Drosophila melanogaster: one gene and its partners. The protein of the gene in region 4 interacts with the protein of the main gene of each other region in a pairwise test. Each region holds a gene or a part of one and is shown on either strand. Other genes may lie near its edges. The genes, in order: CG6398, CG14071, CG12589 and CG17778.

Evidence for each region.
Region 1: the proteins of CG17778 (region 4) and CG6398 interact in a two-hybrid assay, tested with the Drosophila melanogaster proteins (one large-scale study listed by BioGRID).
Region 2: the proteins of CG17778 (region 4) and CG14071 interact in a two-hybrid assay, tested with the Drosophila melanogaster proteins (one large-scale study listed by BioGRID).
Region 3: the proteins of CG17778 (region 4) and CG12589 interact in a two-hybrid assay, tested with the Drosophila melanogaster proteins (one large-scale study listed by BioGRID).

Annotation. Positions count from the first base shown.
Region 1 is NC_004354.4:17,828,815-17,833,845, reverse strand, and holds the start of CG6398 (uncharacterized protein), read right to left. Parts: upstream 3,019-5,031; 5' UTR 2,526-3,018; coding exon 2,400-2,525; intron 1-2,399.
Region 2 is NT_033779.5:10,887,104-10,890,642, forward strand, and holds CG14071 (uncharacterized protein), read right to left. Parts: upstream 1,825-3,539; 5' UTR 1,676-1,824; coding exon 1,265-1,675; 3' UTR 1,173-1,264; exon of another isoform or gene 1,166-1,172; intron 1,115-1,165; 3' UTR 542-1,114; downstream 1-541.
Region 3 is NT_033777.3:5,136,509-5,140,546, forward strand, and holds CG12589 (uncharacterized protein), read right to left. Parts: upstream 2,482-4,038; 5' UTR 1,106-2,481; intron 1,066-1,105; exon of another isoform or gene 987-1,065; 5' UTR 970-986; coding exon 679-969; 3' UTR 549-678; downstream 1-548.
Region 4 is NC_004354.4:492,650-496,879, reverse strand, and holds CG17778 (uncharacterized protein), read right to left. Parts: upstream 2,267-4,230; 5' UTR 2,164-2,266; intron 2,103-2,163; 5' UTR 1,811-2,102; coding exon 1,763-1,810; intron 1,412-1,762; coding exon 1,076-1,411; 3' UTR 511-1,075; downstream 1-510. Other genes in the region: CG17896 (uncharacterized protein), read left to right, coding at 3,463-3,492.

The DNA of each region.
Region 1 (5,031 bases), about 17 Mb from region 4:
AATTCAAGGAAAAGGGCAGCCTGCAGGCTAAGAAAAGGAAGAATTAAACTCTAAACAGTATGCAATCTAATGTACATATACCAACAAGACATACAATTAAAGATAATATAAGATATAGGGGTATTTAAAGGAAAGTAACAACACAGAGCTTCCTTTTCCACCATAATAGTTTCCATTTGACTTCTTTCGAAGAAAACATCTGTAATTAGCTAAAGAAAGGTTGGAAGTGATGATATTCTGACACCATCATCATGATTCCCTCGACTGACTCCCCCGGATTCCCATTCTTTGAGTAGCGCTCATAATCGCTGTGGGTATTTAGTTCTCCACTCCCCTGGGGATGCACTTCATAGGACCCTAGGGTTTCCTGTGGCCAAGTAGCCCATCTCGAGTTACCTGCTGCACCTGAGCGGTTCTTCAAAGGCTCTTACAGGGGCGGAAATCGAAGGAGAACGGAGATATGGAGATGGAGGAGATGGAGGTGGAGGAGGAGGAGGAACAAGAAACGTGGATGGGGAGAAGGGAGCGATGACCCAAAATGGGGGAGGTCAAGGCAGACGATTGCTTCTAATGGCTTTATAAGTGCCCAGGCTCTGAAGACTTCGACGCTGGGCGAGATTCGAACGAATCTCACCGCAATTATCGTTCCCTCGATTCCATTGAAACTTTCGGATTAGGCGACAAAGTCGAAAAACGTGCAAATATTTTCAGCACACTTTGAGTGCTTTTCTTCCTCTTCTTCAGCTTTGTTTTTTATTGTTTTTTTTTTTGTTTAGCTAACTTGTTTTGGTATGATTGGTATGCGCACGCACACCGCCGCGATTTTACACCTATTTCTATAGAGCTCTCCGCATCTAAAATTCTCTCGGCTGCACCTACAAGACGGAGTTGGATTTTCTACAGTGCCACTTCATTAAGACAAACTGCTGCTTATTTGAAAGAAATTAAAACACACATATGCTGCGATTGCTTTCGGCCCTTTAAGAGGCGGATTATAACTGAGATTTCAGTTAGCTAGTTGTATTTCATAAATAGTGAAGTAACCAACATAAAATTGAAAATTAGATTACTTGGAAGAATGGGAAGTGTTGTAATCCGCAGTTTGACTGTATTTGCAATGCAAACTGTAAAATTGTGTACTCCTTCCACTTCACCGCCCCTTTCTTCTTTTTCTGCGGCCTCTTCTGCCTGGGCTCTTCTTCGTTTTTTCGCTTGGCTAAGCGCTCGCGTAGAAAGTTTGAACGTTAACGGCCGTTGCCCATCCTCCACAGGCCCCTCTCGATCAACACCGCACCACTCCCTCCCTTCTTCCCTACCCACCTCCTTCCAATGCCAGTTGTTCGTGTATTTGCTTTCGACCTTTCTTCTTCTCCGCCTTGCCCTTTTTCTTTTTCTTTCGGCCAAGCACAAAACGAGCGACTGTTACTGTTACCTCCGTTTGTTGCTGTTGCCTTCGTGGTTGCCTCTCCGCTCCTCTCCTCCCTTTTCACCTACTCCTCCTCCTGCTTCTTTTTTCTCGCCCTCCTACTCCGCACAGTGGGCCGCGCACACCTGTATGCAGTGCACAAATGTCAGCAAGTGCATCTTAATTACATATCTTGTTTATCTAAGCATCGCTATAGATAAGATTCTCGGAAGAGGACGGATTTTAAAAGATATGCAAAGATGTTTGTAGAACTAAATGTCTCCTACTATTATTAGTAAAATATAATACACATTATTCTCTGGACATAGTCGAACGGGCTTAATTCCTTGGAAATTATGGAGATATTCGTTCCGGTTTTAATATTAATTAAGTATGAAAACTTTAATCCTTATCGTATTTATTTACTATGCTTCCAATGGCATTTGTGAAATGAAGCCACTTATTTTCAAAATATATTTAATAATATAATATAGTACTCTGCTATACTTTCCAGAAGACGAAGTCCTAAACTCTAGCAAGTTATTTTCAACAACTAATATCTATTGTATAAGTAGGGCCTAAATTAGGATATTTTCAATTTCCCTACCCATTTTAAATATTTCCATTGTATCGTACCATTATATCGTTGTCTTGCACGACTTTGAACCCGATCTTTTCCGATTTCTTAAGCTATTGCCTAATCCCAGCCTGGATCTACTTTAGCCACATCTCTGGGACCAATGTGCAGAGCTCGTAAGCGGAGCTAAAGCTCCGTCTTAAGCGGGAGAGTCTTCGGCTTTGGTTGTAACTCTGTCTCTGGCTGTGGCTTCTGCCACGCAGTCGCAGATGCACCGTATATTTCGGTGGCGCTGGCTCTGGCCTTAGCTGATTATGTATTCCAAGCGGATGGGCCTTGGGTTAATTCGATTCGTAGCCCCCACCTTCTCTGGCACTGAAGACTAAAGACACTGTAGACTGCAGATTGAAGACTCACCTGTATCTGGTTGCGCCAGACATCGTAGTGCAGCCAATTATCCGTGGAGAAGGCGATCGCCAGCAGGGCGGTGGCGATGATCGCGCAGATCGTCGCTATAGATAGGGTTACGGCCGAGCAGGGCATGCTGGTGTTTTATTCCGGATCTGTTTCGAAATCTCAGCTATTTTGGGGCTATGATACGGGATTTATCCAACGAAAATCCCCGAGAAGAAAACAACAACTACAGTTGCTATTATTTTTCTTTCGTTTCGTGATCTCTAGCGTCTTCGACGTCTTCTTCTTCCGCAGCTAGATTCTGCCGCTTCTTCTTGAACTGCTACTGCTGCTGCACAAATACACAGTTAAAAGAGCAGCAACCAGTTTGGAAGGCACAGCAAAAAAAAAGCCAACGTTCGTTAAAAAAAATAATAATTTTAGCAACGGGCCAGCACTAACACACTGACACGGGCTCCACTGCACACGCTCACAACACTACACACACACACACGCACGCCGGCGAAGAATCTGAGCTGGAGAATTGAGAACGGAGAACTGAGAATCTGAATCTGGGCAGCAAAGAGACGGAGAACTGATAGCCAAGACGTTGTGATCGCAACAACGTTCGCCAGCGGACTGAAAATCGTCGGCGACTGAGCCAGACTTCAGGTAATACCAAATACCCATATACCATACCCATACCCATACCCATAGTCTCAAGTCGCAGTCGGCGTCTCAGTCGGCGTTTCATTTGAGCGCTTTGCAATGCAACCGGACTGAGGGGGGAGGAGAGTTAGGAGCAGGAGGCAAGGAGACGGTGCCTCTTCTACCTGCTGGATAAAGCAAAAACAAGAAAGGAGAGACTGTTTCGGCAAACGAACCATGGAATACCCTCACAGAATGCTTATATCTCTGCCAATTTGAGGCGAACTTGATATGATCTTTCATAAGCTCATTATACATTTATGTACGAAGTTTCAGATTTTCATATTCGATAACGTAAGATTTGTGTTAATTGTGACTTTATGTTAACGCATCTACAAAACCCAACACTGGATAATCCAGATAACAAAACGCGATGATAGACAAGGCAAATCATGATATCCCGTAAACACATATGCCCAGTTGAGATTTGCAGAAATAACGTTAGATATATAAGAGCTAGTAACCTTTTGTTAGGGTATACGAAAGGCAAACAACAACAAAGCAGCAGCCTGTTGATCTTTTCGTATGTTTGTTTGGTATTTGGTATGCGGTGCTGCCTGTGCAATGGAGTCCCAGTCCCACTGGGCAGGAAGGTAGGACGCGAGGCACACAGCCACATGGGCGTAGGCGGTGGGCTGGAACTCGAAGGGGGCGTTCGAAGGGGTGTGCTGGTGCTCCCATATCTCGACCGTATCGCAGTTATGCCACGCCAGATCGTAACTCTGTCAAAACTGAGCCACATATTTTATTAGCAAGATATTGGAATCAGGCTCCTAAAAACAAATACCCATTACACTGAAGGATCATAATTGGAGTTTCTGCGGAATGTGAATATCATTATTTGACACGTCAATATCATTGCCTGCACACCCATTTAAACGGTTTTGTTTTTGAGCCTGAATAAACATGCATGAATTTGCCTATATCTAAAATGGTTCATTTGAAAATCGACTTGTAAGAACAATGCGTCCAGCTGATAGAGAGTCATTAACTTCTGGGGCGAGAATTTTTTGTATATTCAAATGCCTAATCTGAAATTCCGCCCACATGAGTGCGATTAGTTCGGCCTTTTCCACCGCCCGCTGCTAATCAGGGCGCAGCCGATTTCTCGCAGTGTGCAATTGACCCAAAGATGCTGCGACTGCGCAGGTAAAAAATATATACACACAGACATCTCGTGTACGGACATATCCATATAGAGATAGGTGTTTGTGTTTGTGCGGCATTGGCATCTCGCTGCGTCTACTTGCTGTTGTTGTTGTTGATTTTCATCGGCTTTAATGCCTTTGTCTATTTTGGGTTTCTGTTTATGGCGTGGGTTTTTCTCAATTGCATTTTTGGGCGCGCTCTCGACTGCAGCAGCAAAAGCACAGTGGCGGGCAGAGAGATAGCAGCGTTTAAGAAATTAAGAAATATGCATATAGAAAATCGCCTAAAAACTGAAAGAATTTAATACCCTAAAGAGGTGCTGTTTGATTCATTTTTAAATGTATAAATTGGATACGCTTTGCTATTATTTTGTCCTATTTTTCATCTTTAACGTGATACACATTGATTATATTAGTTCTAGACCATGAAATTCCCAAATTTTAAAGACGTACGCTTTAAATGTACCATGTTAATTAGTTATTCTCTGGCAAAATGTAACAAAATTGGAAACTACCATATTGACGGGCATTGTAAGTGTCGTATGTGTGAGTGTGGAAATACCAGAATTACCTAAATAACAACAAGAATAGCCGTGCACTTATAAAGCAATGTTTGTAATCGGATCGCATTGGCATGTTGGCCAGTTGAGTTCAGTTCTCAATTGCTGGCCAAAAGTTTTTGGCCCCTCGAGTGTCTGACTGTCAGTCAGTCTGTCTCTTTCTGCGCCCCATTACCCCTCTCCCTCTCTCTCTCACACTGCTCATATAATTCGTTTTCTTTTTGCATTCCGATGGAATTC
Region 2 (3,539 bases), on a different chromosome or scaffold from region 4:
GAAAGCGATTAGCGCAACGAGGGAGTTTTAAAATGTGCTTTTAACAAACAGGAATCAAAATTAAGTAAAAATATGAAATACATCCGACATTTTTCGAACCTTCACAAATGCTTTGTTAGTGCGAATTTTCCAATTGACTGGGATGAAAGGCAATCAGAGTCACAGCGGTACAGACCCAAAGTGTCTTATTTTCGGTTCACTGGCCAGAATGGTCGAGATGATTGACTTCATGCAAATGTTCTTGTTAAGACCCATGTCTGGTTGGGAAATTTGCATTTGGCTTGTTTGACCAGTCTGGCTGGCACGGGAATAAAATTGAAATTGTTACCTCGTCGTCGAACGCTTCAATTTAATTAATTAGAGTACAGGACAGGGCCCATAAGTCTGGCTTTCTTCAAATATACCTCGACTTCCTTCTCAATTCTCCGACTATTAATGTTTAACCAAAGCAAAGTAACAACAAATATGCAATTGCATCCTTATACATGTAAGCGCAGACCATTTTGTGGTCCCCTTGGCAATTAAAGTTACAGTTTGGTATAGAATTGTTTAAGTTTAACTTTATCCAAGTAGAATTAATTTCTTATGTTTCTAAACATTTTGGGGTTTTATGTAAAGTCAATATATAACATATGCATTTTTGTTTTGAGCTGTAGTTTACTTAAATATATTCAGTAAATGGCGACCATTTTCAATGCACAGGAAATTCCATAAATTTTCAAGCTTCAGCTTTATCGATCCGGCGAGTCTATATATTTGCAGCGCGTTGACACCGCCAGACGCTCGGCATTATTGAATTTATGCACTTAACGATAGAGTCAGCAGAGTGTAGCTGCTGCCGCAGCGGATGCTGTTTCCGCGACGGCAGTGGCAACATTGCGTATACGCAATTAAATTTGCAGTGTCTTCTGGCTCGCATTGGATTGTCTGTGCGCGAGTGCATAAAGAATTACCGGAAATGAGATTGTTGCGGCTTTAATTTCACCCAAAATGATTTAAGATGTCCAGCGGAATGTGTGAATGGATTTCGCGTTGCATCGAACGTGGACTTCATTATCCAAAAGTAACACATATTTTACTGATTATCGACGGCACACGGGTACATATGGCAAAGCTGGAGAATACAAATACATGTTTACATAGCCCTTGCAATTTCGAATCATTTAACATACTTGCAAACTTTACTTGCACATTAAATCGAACTGAAATTTTCAAGATACACATATGTAGAAGTACAACGTATGTAATGGTTAAATACATATCTTCACATTGAGGCGGCTGCTGCCGATTCCTCATTAGCCACTGTGATGGCCTTTTCAATGACTCCCTTCAGCTTCCTGATGTCCGCATCCAGGTAAATAAGGCGCTCGTACGTGGCAGCCAGCTTGTTGATAATGCTACCGAGGTGATTCCTCAGAATTTCCTGCAGCTCGTCCTCGTTGGGAGCAACGAATGGCTGGCCACTCAAATTGCACTGGAACTCGTCCTCGGCCAGCGCCTCTGCCAAATTATCCTCGGTATCGTCCTGCTGCTTGCGCAATCGGCTCAATTCGTGATCCAAATCAGATCGCTCGATGGTCATGGCCTCAAAGTCGGCCATCTTTTGATGCAGTTCCGGATGGAGTACCACGCCCGGATTGATTAAACGACCAAAGCCCTTTGCCGATCTGGACATTGCTGCACAGTGTAGTTACGCCGTTGAAAGGAGTTTGTGGTTTTCTACGTGGAGCAGTATTTGATTTAACTTAGCAATAAATTTGTTCCTTAAATCCGAACAGTTTCTAGCTACCTACTTATGATTGGTAAATATGTGTTGCTGGCGTCCACTGAATACTCGAGAAAAAACAAAAAGACTGTAGTTAAAAAAGGAAATAGATCATTACATTCAAAAATTGTTTAAGCCGAAATGCATTACGAGTAGATGATAGCAGAAGCATTGTAAACTATCATTCAAATAGTTATTTTTCGTACTATCTCTTTTTAGTGGACAAGAATGTGTTGAAGTTTAAAATTTTCCACGAGTTAACGGCACAAAGATATAGTTTCTTTTTGTCCCTTCTGCATTTATATGCTAATCAAAATTTGGCAATCAAGGGAAGCTTTCTGAAAGAGAATCTTGCCATGCATTTAAATAACAATAACAGCGGTCCCTTTTGAGGTTCACGTGTATATTTGAAGTGGAGAATATTTGGGAATATATACAACTCAGGGCGCGTGTCCTAATTAATAAGACCACCTCGACGCCATCATTGCCATTTGAGCCCAGTGGATTTTTGCTCCTTTTTTTTTGTTGGTTACAAGAATTTCCCAGCGGCATTTCGCGAAATGCAAAAACAACAAGCACCGAAACACAATGGACAAAATGATGAAAAGAAACAAAGGAGGATAGAGATATCTCATTATGGACAAAAGCAGGCCAAACGAGTCCAAAAATAAAATGAAAAATTATGCAACCGAAACAAAAAACAAAAAAAAAAAAAACCCAGCTGTCCTGTTTATCCTCCTCGTCCTTGCAAATCGACATCCGCCCCTTGACCAGTCTGCGTATTTCACGAATTTGTTTACAGCTCTCGACGCGGAGATCCTGGCTTTGAGGTCCTGCGAAACACGCGTGCCGAAAATAATCAAAATATAATAAGCAGACTCTTCAAGGCGCTGCCAAATGAGGCATGTAATAATTTTTGCCCTGCCCAAATTCCCAGTCCCTTTCCACTGGCCGTAAGATTTATGGTGCGTAGTTTTGTGCTCTGATTGTGAGGTAGTATGAGGGGTATGTTGTTTCATTTATTTAGCAAACAAATATTACACATGTATTTATTCAAGACCAATGAATTATAATTACATCTACACTAATAATTAATATGCAAATTTGCATTCGAAACTGGTACCAATTATAATAATGAAAATACATATTAAATATATATTAATAAATATATCTTTGTTTTTTTGCTTAAAAGTATTGTTAACAATATCACAATGATTTAAAAAATGGCTACCATTTTTACTATCTGATATCTGATCATCTTCGACTTTTCCGTTTTAAACTCCTGCACGGTATATGATATTCGGTAGACTCGATTTTCGGACCAGCCCCGTCAAATTAAGCAATTTCCAACTCAGTTATGGAAGTTACATTTTTACGAGTAGTTCACAAACAATTCTATCCACTTGGATTTTTTCATTTATTCGTTTGCTCTTGGCTTTGCCAGCTTAATAGGCTTTGCACACTTTTAGGTTATCTTCAGTCAGTCAGTAAGCCGGCTTACTGAAGGATTTCATGGGGTTTTCTCCGAACATTTCTCTATAACTCGCCCCTTAAAATGCCAAACAATGTGATGAGCAACAGCCATTGGCATCTGCCTACAGTTATGCAAATCACTTGCGGGAAAATTTAGCTTGAGTAACTTCCACTTCTTGCTTGCGCCACAAGGTGGTCAGTTGAAAATTGCGAACGGAAGGATAGGCTTGGATATTCGTCCTTGGGAAATGAAGGAAATGGGGGGGGGGGGGGCTAGAATGCGTGCACCTAGTTTGCCCTA
Region 3 (4,038 bases), on a different chromosome or scaffold from region 4:
TATGATTGTGTGGGCCACAAATCTGGCCTTCCTGTTCGGCTGGGACTGTCATCAGGCTGTCATCAGGTTGGATAATTGAAAGGACTCGTGGAAGTGCCGTGTAAAACTTCTTAATACTCTTAATAAGCCAAGCCTTTGCAGTAATTAAATATTTGTTAAAATACTAGTGTGTAACGAATCAAAACTATATGATTTCACTTTTCGATTATTCCTGTGGCTGCTTGTGATATTATGGTCCAACTTAGCCTTATTTACCACCAGCAGCAAAAATAGAAGTTGTGGGAAAGATTCATGCCATATGAACATGACTCTATCGACTAGGATATTATTACTGATCAAGAATATGTACTTTATAGTAAAATATATATGGTCGGCAAAGTCTTTTTCACTGCGTATTAAACTTATGTCTGAAATCAATATAATATATACGGTATAATATTTATACAAAAGAAAGACTGGACATAACCATCGTTTACTTTGCAAACTTTATGAAACTATTTCTCAGTAATTTTCGTTCTTAATTTAACATTAATGAGGCTTTTATGATTAAGCTTTCTAAAACCACTATATTTAATACGAAGTTGAGAACATCATTACATCATCTTTCACCAAGATAGTTCGCTTGTACTTTTACACTTTCGTCACCTGAATTCCGAGCTCCATCGTCCATCGATTCCCCTACAGTGCCCAGTGGCGTCCGTGTTTCACCTGCAAGCTCAGCAGGAGTCGCTGTAACCGCTCCTTTCCCTCGTATAAGCTTCTTTGCTTGTCCAGCCGAAGGGTCACCAGGCGGCGCTGTAGGTGAGTCAGCTGCTCCCGGATCCACACGTGGTTCGCCTGCAGGCGCAGCACCATCGCTACCAAATTCTCAGGCTGACCCACTTTCTCCAATTCTCCGTGCTCATCCATGTCCTCGCCGAAGTCCAGTTCCATATCTATGCCTGCGACGGCTGTGGAATGCGCGTCCATTGTGCAACTGATGTGTGCTACACAGCAATGGTAAATTGTTATATTGGTAATGAATATACATACATATGTCAATTGAACAAAATATTTTTGAAAAATTTTAAACACATGTTGGAAGTAGAGCCAAGCAAATACATACTATGTCCTATTCTATATAGTTGTGGGAGTCCCAGTTTTTTTCAGTGTGCGTATCTGCTGGCGACAGAAGCGGAAACTTGGAATAATTTAAGCGTGCCAACTGGGTGGCAAACTTCCATCTAATCGCTTAATTCCGAGTTGCAAGAACTTTGGGCCCAGAATCCAGCATTCCATGCCGGAAACCTATACGCAAAAGATTTCCGCAGCGAGTGAGTGCAACTTTTTCTAGTTGATTGACTTGGAAATTGAACATTTGCTCCGTGTTTGGTTAAGATGTCTTGTATTTTTTGCCCAGCTAATGCCCTCGATTGGTTGTGAGCAATGCGCAGTGGTGCGTTCGTAAAATTTTCAAATCGTTTGGCCTAGTGGAAAGCACGAAAGGCTGGAAAGGCGGGAAAGCGGCAGCTACTTGAGGTGGCTCAGACCGAAATTGCTTTTCCGCACCCTGGCTCGACCGAGCAGAAAAATGCCAGCCCTGCTGACGCTGCCCCCGGAGTTCGATTTCGCACTATCGATTCATTTGGTATTCATTGGCCTCGCTCGCTCTCCACAGCTTAAAGCGCTACATGTCGCCGCAACTTAGTGCCTTTGTTTCCTTTGTGCGAGTACGAGTTGCATTGCACCCGGCCGACCCAGTTGCATCGTTTGGGGTTCCTTTTCGGGCGGCGCAGCGCCGTCTGAATCGTAAATTGGCAGCACGTTCCACACGGAAAAAAATATTCGGATGTCAGGCATTCACTTTACGGATGACCGAAAATTTGGCGGATGACCGGAAATTAAAGTAAAGTTCGAAAGAAATCTAAATGATATCCTAAGATATTTGACGGTATTTGAGCACTTTGGAAAAATGGTCTAAAATCATGAATGCATTTCGCCAAGTGCGCACTGCATAGCATAGCAATTTGCTGCGACTCCACTACGACTGTGATGCTAATGATCAAGCATCTCGTCGAGAGACAAGGCCAACGGCTCTTGTCAAAAGAATGTGAACTGGGCGGAATGGTGGTGGAAATTGCAGCAGTTTTCACTTTTCCTTTGCCCGGCGACATCTTATGCACAGAAAACGCCTTAGTTGCGGTGTTGTGGCCGCCAGCCGTGCGTATGCGTAATATTCGAGGAATGTTTCGCATTTCCTTCTAACCGAAAAGTTTGACAAGCTGTCTATTTGCTGGGGAGTGTGCGTGTGGGCAGGCTGGCTGTTTGTTTTCTATTTGTGGTGCAGGCACTTGAGGCTATTTCTGGATAATACGCATGCGACATGTTGCCAAGGCGAGGATAAAGCCCAATTTTAAGGCCGTCCGAGCTTTGCGGAATAGCACTGATGATGATTGCAAATACGGAGTGGCTCATCTCTCACCTTTGACTTTAAACAATTTGCCAAACAACGTTTTAAATAAATTTTAAAAATCGATAATGGATAACTACTGCCTCTGTTAAATTAAGATTAATTATAAAATTTACTTATTGTCATACTTTTTTAAGACAGATTGTAAATAAAAAGAGAAAAAAAAAATAAAAAAAAAATCGAGCACAACAAAATCCACGCCTGCTGCTTTCATCCTGACAGGCTAATTGAAAATCTATGAACCTAAGTTTAAGCCTGCAACCCTTTCCATTGCCAGTTGCATCTCTATCTTGGCTTTTTCTGGATGTCTGTTGATATTCAGCCTGCCGGGATTGGCAACTTAATTATTTCAGCGGCACGTCGCCGGCAACTGGCGCTTAAGCCAGCCACCCGACGGTTGCAAAAGCGAAAAACGGGCGGCACAATGAAAAGGAATAAGAAAAGCTGTGATATAAACAGCGCTTTCAGAATGCAACGTCAGTGAAGGGGAAGAAGAACAACAGCTGCTTCTGGGAATCCGCGCCGAAGGATAAAGTTGCCAGCCAAAGGATTTTACTACACATCTGGCTAAAGAAACGGCACGAGAAAAACTCAGCGAACGATTGTATATCATTGTATATCTGTGCATATCTGTGTGTGTCCGGCTCCCCATTAGCACCAAACGACTTCTGCCACGCCCACTTACTTCCGGCCCACCGCATAGTGCTATGCCACAGCAAAAGTCGAAAAAAGCCCCACTTGCGGCTTTATTCATGGACTTGATTCATTAAGAGACATTCACATGCGAGCATTCCCATTTACAAACAAACAGTGGAACTTCCATTAAAATCTATTTTAAATTTAGGAAAGCCATGTTTTTATGTGTGTCGTTTCACGGAATGAAGGCACTGAATATTTAAGTTCTGTAGAATTGTTTTAAGATTTATAAGAAAAAAGGCTTTATAATCGGATTCATGTTTTTAGCTTACGAATACAGGACAAATAATTCATAATTCTGAAATGAATCTCTCTCAAAGATCAACAATTTATTAGGTAAATAGATTTCCAGAACACACCTACTCATAGTTGCCGAGTATTTTATATTTCTCGCGTAATATCTGCGCTTCCCCCCTTTCCAATGACTTTGGAAACTTTGACAGGGCAAAAGTAATTAATTTTCGGCAGCTAACTCAAAAAGACAACCAGCGAACGGCAAAAAGCTGAAAAGGTTAAAAAAAAGGCAACACAGGCGGCACAATTAACGCCTGCAACTTTAATTGCGTTTTAATGTGAATCAGGCCGCAGAAAAGCTGCCTGTTTGGATGCTTTCACGATGGCTCGATGGGCGGAGGGTGGCTGGTGGTGGGTGGCGGATGGCTAAGTGCACGGCTCGAACCAAGCGGAGTGGGTGGTTCAACGTGCTCTGTCAACCGCAGGCGGGGGCTCAAAAGCGTAACAAGCATTGGCCGCGCCTCAGCAACATGTCCGTCGTCCTGCACCCACACACACACACACACACACTCGTACTCGCACTCACACACTCACACTCGCAAAGGAGCGGAGACAAACGCACACGTGAATTCGTCCTGTGACTATGGGCTCTGCAGTCC
Region 4 (4,230 bases):
GCAATGCGATGATTAAGACACAAAACGCAGGCGCGCCACTTTCAACAGAAAGTGGATGCTGAATGAATGAACTATTTTCCCCAGAACCACTTTCTTGAACTTTCTTAGTGCCAATTTTTAAACTTGTGCCACAAATGTGGGCACGCCACGCACACAAACGTAAAAAAACACCGACACACCGATGCAAAGATCTACGCACACCCAGATGCGCGCACAATAGAGCTGCAGTTATTGCACTTTCTTTTCGTACACTTTTTTCGCAATGATCTTCTCGCCAGCCTAGGATGAATCAGCGTATATTCGCTTCTTAAACAACTGCCATGATACATACATTTTATTCGCAACACGGAGAATATAAATAAAATCGCAAATGAAGTCACGAAAGTACGCGAACGCAGCAGCGACCACTGTTGCCACTCGGCTGCGATCAGATGACATTGCCAGATGCGACTTAGAGGAGTTGCCAGAAGGTTGTTGTTGACAACCGGATGGCGCCAGATTTAAATATATGCGTTCCTCGTCTCCCGAGGTTTAACTAACTTTTATTTTCTCTAGAGCTCAACAAATAAATCTCCAAAAATGAAACTAACACAAGAATAACCATTGTGTGTGGCCTAAATATGTACGGTCTGTTATATATTATCTTTTAAAACGTGTCGTATCAAAAACTACCTCAAAATACTATTATGTTAAGGCAAAATTTGGAAAAGTGCATTCAGACATTCCGGTTCGTCCTAAAGAACGCATATCATCGTAAATGTTGTTTACTCTGTGTTAAGCATTGTGTTTTTGTGTTCTTAGAGCAGTGAGTTTTCGTTATTCCTGCCTATCACTGGAATAAAACACCAAAAAAAAACCTTAATTCGCATACAATGGGTGTGGTTTTCTTAATGTGTATACATGTATATAAAGTATAGGATTTTTTTCCGAGTCTAAATGCTTGGAGTGGGCTTGCGATATATAGTTACACAGTTGATTGCTTCAGATTGGTGCCAATTTAGTCCCTACATTTGCGTCCCCATTGACACATTTACCGCACCTATTCGCCAGGGAGGCCAATCAATAGGGTCATTGATTATTCATGAATACCAACCCCTGCTCCATCGAGCCCTTTCTCGGGCTTTTTGCGACCCTTCTGGGAGCTAGCTATCCGCTGTTTTAGAGTGTGAAAAGTCTGCTGCATGCTGCGCATTTGGTACCGTATGGAGCTGCTGACGTCACGCTGCAACTGCTGCACCTCGCGAATGTCCTTGCGCAGATTCTGGTACTCGTTGGTCACCTCGCTCATCGACTCGAGCAACTCGAGGACCTCCATCTCGTCCATCTGCTCCATCGTCGTCTGTTCGAGGCTGCGCTCCACCGCGTGCAGTTTGTGGGCCATCGTGTACAGCTGCGATCCTGCATTGGCCACCTTGAAGCAGAGGGAAATGTAGGTTACCTATGGATTAAGTAATTGAATTTTGGCCGCTTCCGTTCTCTCTTCAGCTTAGGGAAGCATTGAAAAGATATTCCCAGGAGAACTTATGATCAAATCCTGATAACAACATCTTAAATTAAGTTCGATAAACTTGGATTAACAGTCTACATTTAGGTACTTTGGACAAAGATCTTAAATACTCATATTTCGGCACCAACTGACAATGTGGCTTATGATTGTAATAGACCGCCATGGAGTGTCCCTAATTTCTCTCACTACACTCTGAGTGCCTATACTTCTGAATGAATAAGTGGCTATTTCTGTTTGCCTGGTCGATAAGCTCACCGATTTTTCCAGAGCGCTGATGTCCTGGTAGCCCGGCGTGGCCTCCATCTTTTCCAGATCCCAAGCTGCCTCTCGACCTCAGCCTCTTGGCATGACAGTAAGTAGTAAGTCAGCGCAGCAAGTCCATACTGCGGCAAATAACAAAATTGTTTTTGCCTAACTTAAGGCGCGTCGTCCGGAGCGCTGACAGTCCAGTCCAAGCTCTCCGAGCAGAGTGAGCGAGTCCTGCGATTGGTCCCACTATTTATATGCTCCTGCACACAAGTTGACTTCCGCATTCCGCAGCAAGAGAGGGAGCGAGAGAAAGAGCGAGTGGCAGTGCTGGTACTTCTTTAGCTTGCTTAAAAACAACGTATAAAAATATGCTATATTTAATCGAATTCTTTTTAGTATATGCTTACACTTTTCGAAGCCAATGGATTTTTTGTAAACGTTATGGATTTCAAATGACAGAACTTTTTTTTTGTAATTCCTTGATTCAACTACCGGTGGGCATCACTGAAGAGCAGAAAGGAGCTACTATTGTCCCATTGAGAGACAAAGCAAACCACTTTCTTTAAAAAAGAGAAAGCCTTTCATTTGTGTTGCATCTATTTCCATGGATTTTGTTTTCCCGGTGCAGGCTAGTCCTTTTGATTATGTTGACCAGGAAGCGGGGCTGCTAGCAAAAGCTTACCCTGCCCGATGATGAAAGCGAACTTGCTATTTTAATAGACCAAAAGCCTAAAAGCAGGCAGACAAATTTTCATTCAGAAAGTGAAAAATGCGCCAGCCTGCTTCTGTCCACACTGCGTTCCAGGAAACATTTTTAGGATTTATCTGTTCAGCTAGGAAGCACTTATCACCTAATTGATTATTTTTTCCATCCTCGGTTAAGCACTAGTATTAATATTTGATTACATTTCGTTTAAGTTCATATGTACATGTGTCCATACGTACATATGTACATATGTACATACGTTGATGGAAAAACACAAATATACTACATTGGATCCGCCGGTGTTTATAAATACCCTAAGCCAGTTCAGCATGTCTAGCATCGAAGATCCAATACACTTCCACTGTTGTACACTTAAAAAGTTGTTACAATCTAACTGGAACACATAAACTGGCTTGATTACCATAAAATTGATTAACCATAGAGTATGCATTTGGGTACTACAATACTACACTGCCGTCACCATAGCTAACATTCCCTTCCAGCAGGGAATTGACAAGAACGCAAACACCGCAAAGCAAGCACTACACTCACACACACATACTCACAACGAGCCCCCAAAAAACAGCAACAGCAACAATTGCGAAAACAGAGCAACACAAAAACAACAGCTGTGCCCCCGGTTCCTAACGGTGTGTGCGGTAGCAAGTTACATACATATGTGCGTGTACACGTGTGTGTGAGCATCAAACTATAACCACTTGCTAATGTAAAGCACTTTTTGACGTGGTCTTCGCCTTCGCCTTCGTATATCAACAATCGCCACACCATGCCAATACCACACCACACCACCATACATTACCTCAAACCTATACAGATATATGTACATATATATTTCCATTCATGTATATGTGTAGAGAACAGTGGAGAATAACTGGCATCAGAAATGGGCGGCTGCGCTGCGTTCAGTTTCAGTGTAGCCACCGTTCGGAGAGCACGCGATCCGATCCCCGCACCAAATTCTCATCTCCGTATCCCCAAGATGTCCCTAGTGCGATTGATCGGAGCAGAGGTGAGTTTCCAATTGGTGGGTGGGTGTATGTCCTATAGGCATGCTAGGCTGCCATCCTCACCCTGACATACATACATACGTGCATCCATCCATCAGCATTTGGATCGTTTTGGCGCTCTCTCTCGTTCTCTCTGACACTGGTGTGGCCGTGAATTCGGTAATTGGCGATGCGATTGGCCTTGGGCATGTAATGTATGCACTTTCGGCGCCCATCTCACACTCCACCCACTCTAGTGATTGGAATGGCCCACGGGTGTGAGCGGCGAACGGGCAGTTGAAAACAACACATGTTACGCAATACGTCGCTGCGAAGCGGAAGAAGTAGAACTAGAACCAGAATATTAAGCAGATAAAGCGCACAAGGCGAATTCGCGGGGAATTTAGCGGTACAATGTTTGAGTTGACGTTAAATCCAATAAAACGCGATAAGCGGTACCTTTCCACGACAGGCGCGCCATGAAAATCTCGAATTTGCCAGATGGACACTGATAAGCGTGGGCGGCTGCCCCCCGCGCGCCTACCACTCAAGTTATCAACACCCAAAAAAATAGACCTCACCCCACATTAAACGGATTTGTCCGGCCGTTGAGGTTAGGATTGCGAGCACTGGGCAATTTGCAAAGCAAATGAAAGGTGGACTAAATGGTAAATTTTTGGTTTAGTATACGTGGAAGTGGGAAAATAAAGTACGCTTAGCGATCGGAGTTCATACCTTTTGTACTGGCTGTTTACCAACTC